Linked DNA regions of Cricetulus griseus. The protein of the gene in region 1 interacts with the protein of each later gene in a pairwise test. Links are inferred from orthologs where the notes say so. Each region holds a gene or a part of one and is shown on either strand. Other genes may lie near its edges.

Region 1 (3,745 bases):
CTGCTGAATAAATATTCTAGCCCCAAAGAGAAGAAGGAGTTCTTGGCTTTGAACAAATAAATGGAAGACAGCAAATGGTCACCTATATAGCTCCTTTCCAGGGCCATAACATCTTTTCAATCTGTTTGCCCTAAAACATACCATACACACCTACCAGGGAACATGAGCAATTCATGGTCTGGAGTAAGCAAGCATGCCTGTGTTTGATTTCATGCTTCACTATCTTCATCTTGGTCATGGCACTCATTCTAATTATTATTATTAATTTTTTTTGTTGTTTTTTTCCAGACAGGGTTTCCCTGTGGCTTTGGAGGCTGTCCTGGAACTAGCTCTAGTAGACCAGGCTGGTCTCAAACTCACAGAGATCCGCCTGCCTCTGACTCCCGATTAAAGGCGTGCGCCACCACCGCCCGGCTCATTCTAATAATTTTATTTACGGAGACAGACCCTCTCTATTGCATAGCTCTGGCAGTCTGGGAACTCACTCTATTGTCCAGGCTTGCCTTGATCTCAGAGATACTCTTGCTTCTGCTTCCGGAGTTCTGGGATTAAAGGTGTGAGCCACTAAATCTGGCTGGCACTCATTGTTATTCTTATTGTTTTTTTTTTGAGACAGATTCTCTTTATTATGTAGCTCTAACTGTTCTGGAACTCTCTAGGTAGATCAAGTTAACCCCTTGCCCGAGTACAAGGATTAAAAGGCTTATTTTATTAAAGATAAGGTCGCCAGCCCAAGCTGGCTTCAAATGTTCTATGCAGTAAAGTTTGACTGTTGCTTCTCTTGCCTCCACTGGGATTATAGGTTTTATATATGGGGCTGGAGACTGAAACCAGGGCTTCACGAAGGTAGGCAAAAGCATACTACTAACTGAACTACTCCTACAGCCTCACCTTTCCTGACAATTACTACTCAAAGGCCTTAGCTAAATCAGTCTGTGAATCTGATATGGCACCCAGCTAGCTCAGCATTAACTAGGTCCACACCCATTCTTTCCTCATTACACATGATTTCTGAATGCTTAATAAAGCCTCTAACAGCTCACCTTTAGGTCACATAGAACAACACTGTCCAGTAAGAGTGTGAGCCATGAACACAACCTCAAATTTCCTTGCAGCCACATCAAAACCGGTGGGAAAAAAAAAAAGTTTTGTTCTTGTAGTGCTGGAGAATAAAACTCAAGAGCCTGGTCCGGCAATGGTGTTGCACGCCTTTAATCCCAACACCTGGGAGGCCGAGGCAGGCGATCTCTGAGTTTGAGGCCAGCCTTGTCTACAGAGCTGGCTAGTTCCAGGACAGCCAGGGCTACAAAGAGAAACTATTGTTTAAAAAAAAAAAAAAGAAAAGGAAAAAAAAAAAAAAAAAAGAAAAGAGCAAAGAAAACAACCCCCCCTCATTTAACAAGGACTCTACTACTGACATAGACTAACAGTACAAAATTAATGATTTTTTTCTTTCTTTCTTGAGAGTGGTGGGATCATGGGTCCCAAACTTAGTTTTTAATAAGATAGTGTTACTTTTATAACATATAACCAATATTAAAATACTAAGTATTTGTGGTTTTTCCGTACTAAATTACTTAACATTTCAGTTTGGGTTGCTACCCAAGTGCTTCATAGCTATCAGTGGCAAAGAATAGCGATTTCGCTTGTGTACCCCACCCCAACCTGTAGGAATATACTTTATGAAACAACCAGAACCCGTTATTCTTAAGCAGTCCACAAATTATTAACTATAGAGTAAGCGAACACTCTGCTGGGTGTGGTCGAGTGCTAGAAGCAAAGGTGAGGGTCTCTGCTCACACAAGTTCAGGTAACAGCTCAGGACCTTGGTCACCTCCCCATCCTCCGGAAGTGTGCGTCCAACAGCCAGAGAGGAGAAAACAATTAGTTAAATCTAGAGCAGAGGCCGTTTCGTCAACCTTCAAGTCACTCTCTACATATAGAAGCACATTTGAGACGCCGTGCCTACGAAATAACACAAAGTAGAGAAAGAAAGCCTACCACCAAACCATAACCTTCCAATAGTCTCCCTTTGAGCTCGGGAACCGTGCTCAGCCCACCCTGAGCCGGATCCTCAAGGCCCAGAGCTAAGAACTACACGCAGGAGTTCGATAGACACTCGTGAAAAGAGATCTAAAAGAAAGCCAACCTTTTAGGCCGGTTCACAATCGGCACCGTCTGCTCCGGCCACATATATCGACCTCGCCTCCCACCCTTTCTCCACTCACAACTCAGGTAGGGCCTGGCGTGGCGAGCCTAGGTCTCCAGCTAGACAAAAAAAACAAGAGAAGAGGCGGCGCTCGCAGCAGCCGGGAGTCCCGCAAGCTACGCTGGGCGCCGCCAAGCTAACGATGCGGGATCGCCCTTCCGTCTGCGAGCGCCTCGACCACTTCCGGGCCGCGGCCTCGACACCTCCCACTCCGCCCGACCTGAACCACTCTTTCTCTTCGGGTTCTGCGCGTCGCCGGCAGACCTCTACCACACTGCGGGGCTGCGAAACGCAACCGGCTCCACGATGCTCCCCACCGAGCCCGGCAGAAGGTCCCCGAAGTTCGGATGCGGCCGGATTCCTTCCCAACTTACATCTTCCCGAGGCCGCCACCTCCTCCCGCTCTTCTCAGACCCGGAGGCCGGCGCAACTCTGTCGTCGTCAGAGTTGAGAAGCGGGAAGACACTGCGTCGTCGCGCAACGATGACGTAAAGCTCCTCAGCCAATGCACCCGAGCGGTGGAGACTTGAAGGCCGCGACTGTTTATAGGAAGAGCGTCCTGCCGGGACTCGTTTTGCGCAGCCTCGGAGCGCGCGGATGATTGGCTGACGGGGACTGGAGGGCTGCGTGTGTGCGGAAGGATATACTCTGGTTGTCTCTGTTACTGACTTTTTTTTTTTTTTTTTTTTTTTTTTTTTTTGAGACAGGGTTTCTCTGTGTAGCTTTGGAGCCTATCCTGGCTCTCCCTCTGGAGACCAGGCTGGCTTTGAACTCACAGAGATCCGCCTGCCTTGCCTCCCGAGTGCTGGGACTAAAGGCGTGCGCCACCACTGCCCGGCTCTTACCGACTCTTACTATTATTATTGACTCTCTTATTGAGTGCTAGGCCTACGGTATGGTTACGCGCCCTGCAGGGAGTGGTGCGCCTTACAGCCCAGGCGGCGGAGAGTCCAAGCAAAGCCGTGCTATTTATTCTAAAGGGACAGGCTGGTACCGACGGTGGGTTCCTGCCGCCAAAACTGCGTAGACGCGGGTAGGCCAGAAAGAAAGGAGTTTGAGGAAATGCCGAAGACATGCAGTAGGGGAGGCGTCTCCGAGGTGACATTTCTGAAAAGGATGCGCGGGGCGGAGGGAACAACAGGTGCAAAGGAAGGCGTCCAGGTTCGCTGGGAGAAGAAAAGGAACGCCAGTCTGGGTGAAGGTCATTGTCAGGACATAGAGGTCCAGGGCCTAGGCTACACAGTACCCGTGGTGCTGCAGTGCCCCGCCTCCCAACTTCGCTTGGCGTATTCCTTCCTCTGTGGTTCTTTGAGGAAGGAATGGATATGTACACAGTCCCTGCGGTTATCTAAACAGGTTTGAGACAGCAAGGAAGAGAGAGGAATTGATCTAAGGTTTAGGAGGAAGAAACAAAGGTGACTTGGTTTGGATTACATATCGCTGTGAAAAATAGGAGGCCAGTGTGCCCCTTGGTGACCCATGGAGAGATGGAGGGAGGAGATAAATTCAAGGAGCTGGGCACAGGGCAGGAAAAGG
Region 2 (3,726 bases), on another chromosome or scaffold:
CTTTATATCTCCTTTTCCATTTTCTTTGGGGGACCGAGAACGTGACCTACTTCGGGACTTCCCATACTCATCCTTAGATCTGCTTCTTGAGTGTGAATGGGAACCCCGATCAGACTTGGGCTTAGATTTGCTCTTTGATCTGGATTTCCTGCCTTTTGAGCGGGATCGGGATCGACCTTTGCTCCGCGACCTAGATCTGTGTAAGAAAAGCCAGATTTCTTTCAGTATCTTGTCAGAAATCACATGTACTCCATCAACAGGTAAAATTAAGAAAGACCCACTACCACATTATTTACCGGGAGCGACTTTTTGAGATACTTCGAGATCTACTGCGGCTGCTCCTGCGACTCCTACTCCGTGACCTTCTTCTAGACCGTGATCTACACACAAGAGACAGTGACGTTTGAATCTCTAGAAAGAATGGGTTTGTACTACTCAGCTTTGGCTGAAGTATCTGCTTACTACAACCAAGAAACTCCGTAAGTTCAATTAAGCAACAACTGAAAACTACAAGCCATCCCAGTCCCTCATGTTACCTGGATCTACTTCCAGAGTAAGAGCGCCTATGGCTTGTTCGTGGTTTATCTTCAATAAGCCTAATATTTCTGCCATTTATTTCTGTGCCATCTAGTTTATCCAAAGCACGCTTCATGTCAGAGTAGGATCTAAATTCAATTACACCCTCATTTGTTCGTTCTTTATGAGCATCTGCATAAGTCACTTCTCCTGCTTGCCGCATGAAATCCTAAAATAATAAGACTGGTCAGTCCCAGAAATCTAGAGCATGTCTGTGCAGCACCAACTCTTAAGGAAATGACCACCCACTGTCATTTAAGGCCCAGGCACATACCTTTAAGTCTTGCCAACTGCACCGACTAGACAGATTTTCTACAATAAGCCTGTATTCTGTACGAACAGGTGGTCCATATTTGTCTCTGCCAGAAGTTCTCCGACTGCTGTATCCACCTCCACCACCTTTATCACACGGAGGGAATAATTAGATGCATTGCAATGACAGGGATGCATGTTTTTGAAAGTTAGTACAAACATAGCAACGTTTATTACTGGAGTAGGACTTTGCTATTATACTGCTAAACCCTCGATACATTTGTGATTTGCCACAAATTAAATTAAGGGCAAGTCAAATAGACTAAATCCAACTAACCCTCTCCTACAATCTGTTAGAGAGTGACTGCTCCTTTAGTCAATTTACCTCGCTAAGTTTTATTTTACAGAACATTGTAAAATATAAAACTTAACTGATTACATGCATTTCTACATTTTACAAAAATGTTTACTAGTTACACTAAGTACTTACATCACAGTGTGAGGTTTTTGGTGGTGGTTTGGCCACAAAACACGCAAGGTAACAGTCACCTAGTTCAGATTAACCAGTTTTGTCTAACCCTTGGAATCCTCACCATCACCCTGCGTCTAATGGCAAAAGGCTGCTGTCGTCATGGCTTCCGGTAAGGTCAGCCAAAGGGTCATAGGGCAAGGGTCACACAATGTATGGAAAAGCCAAGGCCAATCAGGAAAGGCAGTCATCTTAGCCTCAGTGGACACAGCCTCAGCCCCATTGGTCACTTTTAAATTGAAACATCAAGGACTTGTTAAAAAGTTTGAATTCAACATGCAACAATTTCAACATTAAACATTTCACATAACCAAAATCCCCCCAACCCCCTCCCAGTAACATGCCCCAAACCAGTTCAAATATAGCATAAAGCTAATTTAGATTTACGTTGTGGTAGTCTACCACATTTAGTTAGTTTTAAATGGCATTCTCTTTGGCCCTCGCCAAGTCTCCCCTCACCTAAGGCTTAAGCTCCAAGCTCCTCCCCTTTCCCCGCCCCCTGCCCCACCTCCACCCCAGCTTTCCTAGAAACTTCCTCGACGCTAGCTAAAGCACTGACAGAAAAAGCAAGGGGGAAATGGTACAAATACAGGCAACCCCCGCTTTCAACGTGGGCAGAGCCCAACACCAGTGCCAACGAGGGCCAACTGAAGCCACCCCTTCCAAACTCAGCCAACCAACCAGCCAGCCACCCGACCAACCCAATCCCCGCGCTCCGGTGTCCTATGGCTCCCCGAGCATGCGTGGAGGCAGAGGGGGCCCGGGAACACCCAGGGCCAACGACCCCCGGCCTCCGCGCCTGCCCGGGTCAGGGAGGTCCCGCCCTGCGCCCCCCTCCCCCGTGACCGCCCCCGCCCGGTACCCAGGACGCGGAGCGCGCGGGGGGGGAAGAACTCACTGCGGCTTCCGTAGCTGTAGCCATCGCGGTCGCGGCGCGGGCCCCGGGCGTGCTCTACGATCACGCGCTCGCCACACAGCTCCTTGCTGTTTAGCTCGTAAACGGCGTCGTCGGCGTCGCGGGAGTCCTCGAACTCCACGAAACCGTACCTGAGGAGGGGCGGAGCGCGGGCCGCGCACCGGCGGGCGTGTCGTTAGCCGGCGCTGCGCGCTCCCGCCACCTCCCCGCGCGCGCTCGGCGCCGCCGCCGCCATCTTGGAGGCCCTGCCACGCGGCGCCGCGGCCTCGGTCGACTCGGTCCTTGGGGGCTCCCTCCGCCACGGGGCGCGGACCCCCAGACCCGACTCACCCATTTTTGAGGTCGATCTCGAGGAGGCGGCCGTAGCCGCTGAAAAAGCGCTGGATGTCCTTCTCGCGGACGTTGTAGCTCAGGCGTCCTATGTAGACGCGCGGCATGGCCGTGGCGGGTGGGGTCCCGGAGGCTAGCTGAGGTGCGGCGGGCCGCGGGGCACGGCTGCGGTGCGGGTGCGGGGACGGCGAAGGCCCGAACACGCGCCTCACACCGCAGCTGCGGCCGAGTCAGCCACACAATGGTGCGCGCGCGCGCCGGCCTACGCTATAAGCGTCCGGGGCGGGGCGGGGCGGGGCGCGGCGCGTGACGTCGGCGCGCAGCACGTCCTCTCCCGCGCCGCGGCGGGCGGGCGGGCTCCCGGGCGACGGGCTTCTTGGGGGACCGCGGTCTCGCGGCCGCGATGTTCCCCGGCGCTCGGCACCCATCTCCGTACCCAGTCCAGCCGGGAGCGGGCCCTTTGACGGGTGCCTTGTCGTCAACCGCTCTCGTGCCCAAGCACGCGGAGAACGGTCCCTAGTTCTCACTGGTTCTCAGGGCTGTCCGTCAAGGCCGTTCCGGTCCCTGATTGGTGTACTGGGAAAAGAGGTTGCGCTCTCCCTTTAGCGGTTGGCTCGCGCTGGTTTCGGTGGGAACGTGCTCTCGGACTCAGTTTTCTCTGCCGCCCCATCTCTGGCCGGGAGGTCGTAGTGACCCGCCGCGGGGAAGGTGCGGTGGCGAGTCTTGAGTCTCGGTGACACCCTTCACCCCGCTCCGAATGCTGACAGCTCTGAATCCCGCGCTCACCGCGGCTGCTCACAAAGGGAGCGTGGCAAGACCCCACGCACCACCAGGCGGGTGACCCGGCGGTCCCCCAAGAACACCGAGCTCCTTTCCTACCCATGCTGTCCTTAACCCTGTTGACTAGGAAGGCACGGTGTTTATGTGGCAGAAATGCACACTTAGGAGTTTGTAGAGGTGACATCTAACGCTGTAGAGCTAGATAAACAAGACACCCCCCCACCCCCTCCGGAGTAAATTAACTTAAGTACCGCAAAAGAAAGGCTGGTTGCAGAGGTTAGGAAACTGAAAGCATAGGGTGGTGTGGTGGAAGCTGGGAGAAAAGGCTGTCACCGAGTCACTC

What was found. The genes of interacting proteins can lie anywhere in the genome.
Region 2: the proteins of Rnps1 (region 1) and Srsf6 interact in binary tests that used the Homo sapiens proteins (3 or more experiments, as listed by UniProt). The two-hybrid records come from large-scale screens. The link is inferred for Cricetulus griseus from reciprocal best matches to the Homo sapiens genes RNPS1 and SRSF6.

What each region holds. Positions count from the first base shown.
Region 1 is NC_048600.1:43,954,369-43,958,113, reverse strand, and holds the start of Rnps1 (RNA-binding protein with serine-rich domain 1), read right to left. Parts: upstream 2,737-3,745; 5' UTR 2,586-2,736; coding exon of another isoform or gene 2,584-2,585; intron 2,275-2,583; exon of another isoform or gene 2,194-2,274; coding exon of another isoform or gene 2,150-2,193; intron 1,246-2,149; exon of another isoform or gene 1,044-1,245; intron 1-1,043. UniProt on the Homo sapiens protein: Part of pre- and post-splicing multiprotein mRNP complexes. Auxiliary component of the splicing-dependent multiprotein exon junction complex (EJC) deposited at splice junction on mRNAs.
Region 2 is NC_048599.1:16,582,516-16,586,241, forward strand, and holds the start of Srsf6 (serine/arginine-rich splicing factor 6), read right to left. Parts: upstream 2,855-3,726; 5' UTR 2,711-2,854; coding exon 2,604-2,710; intron 2,405-2,603; coding exon 2,256-2,404; intron 976-2,255; coding exon 851-975; intron 746-850; coding exon 537-745; intron 381-536; coding exon 297-380; intron 197-296; coding exon 1-196. UniProt on the Homo sapiens protein: Plays a role in constitutive splicing and modulates the selection of alternative splice sites. Plays a role in the alternative splicing of MAPT/Tau exon 10. Binds to alternative exons of TNC pre-mRNA and promotes the expression of alternatively spliced TNC.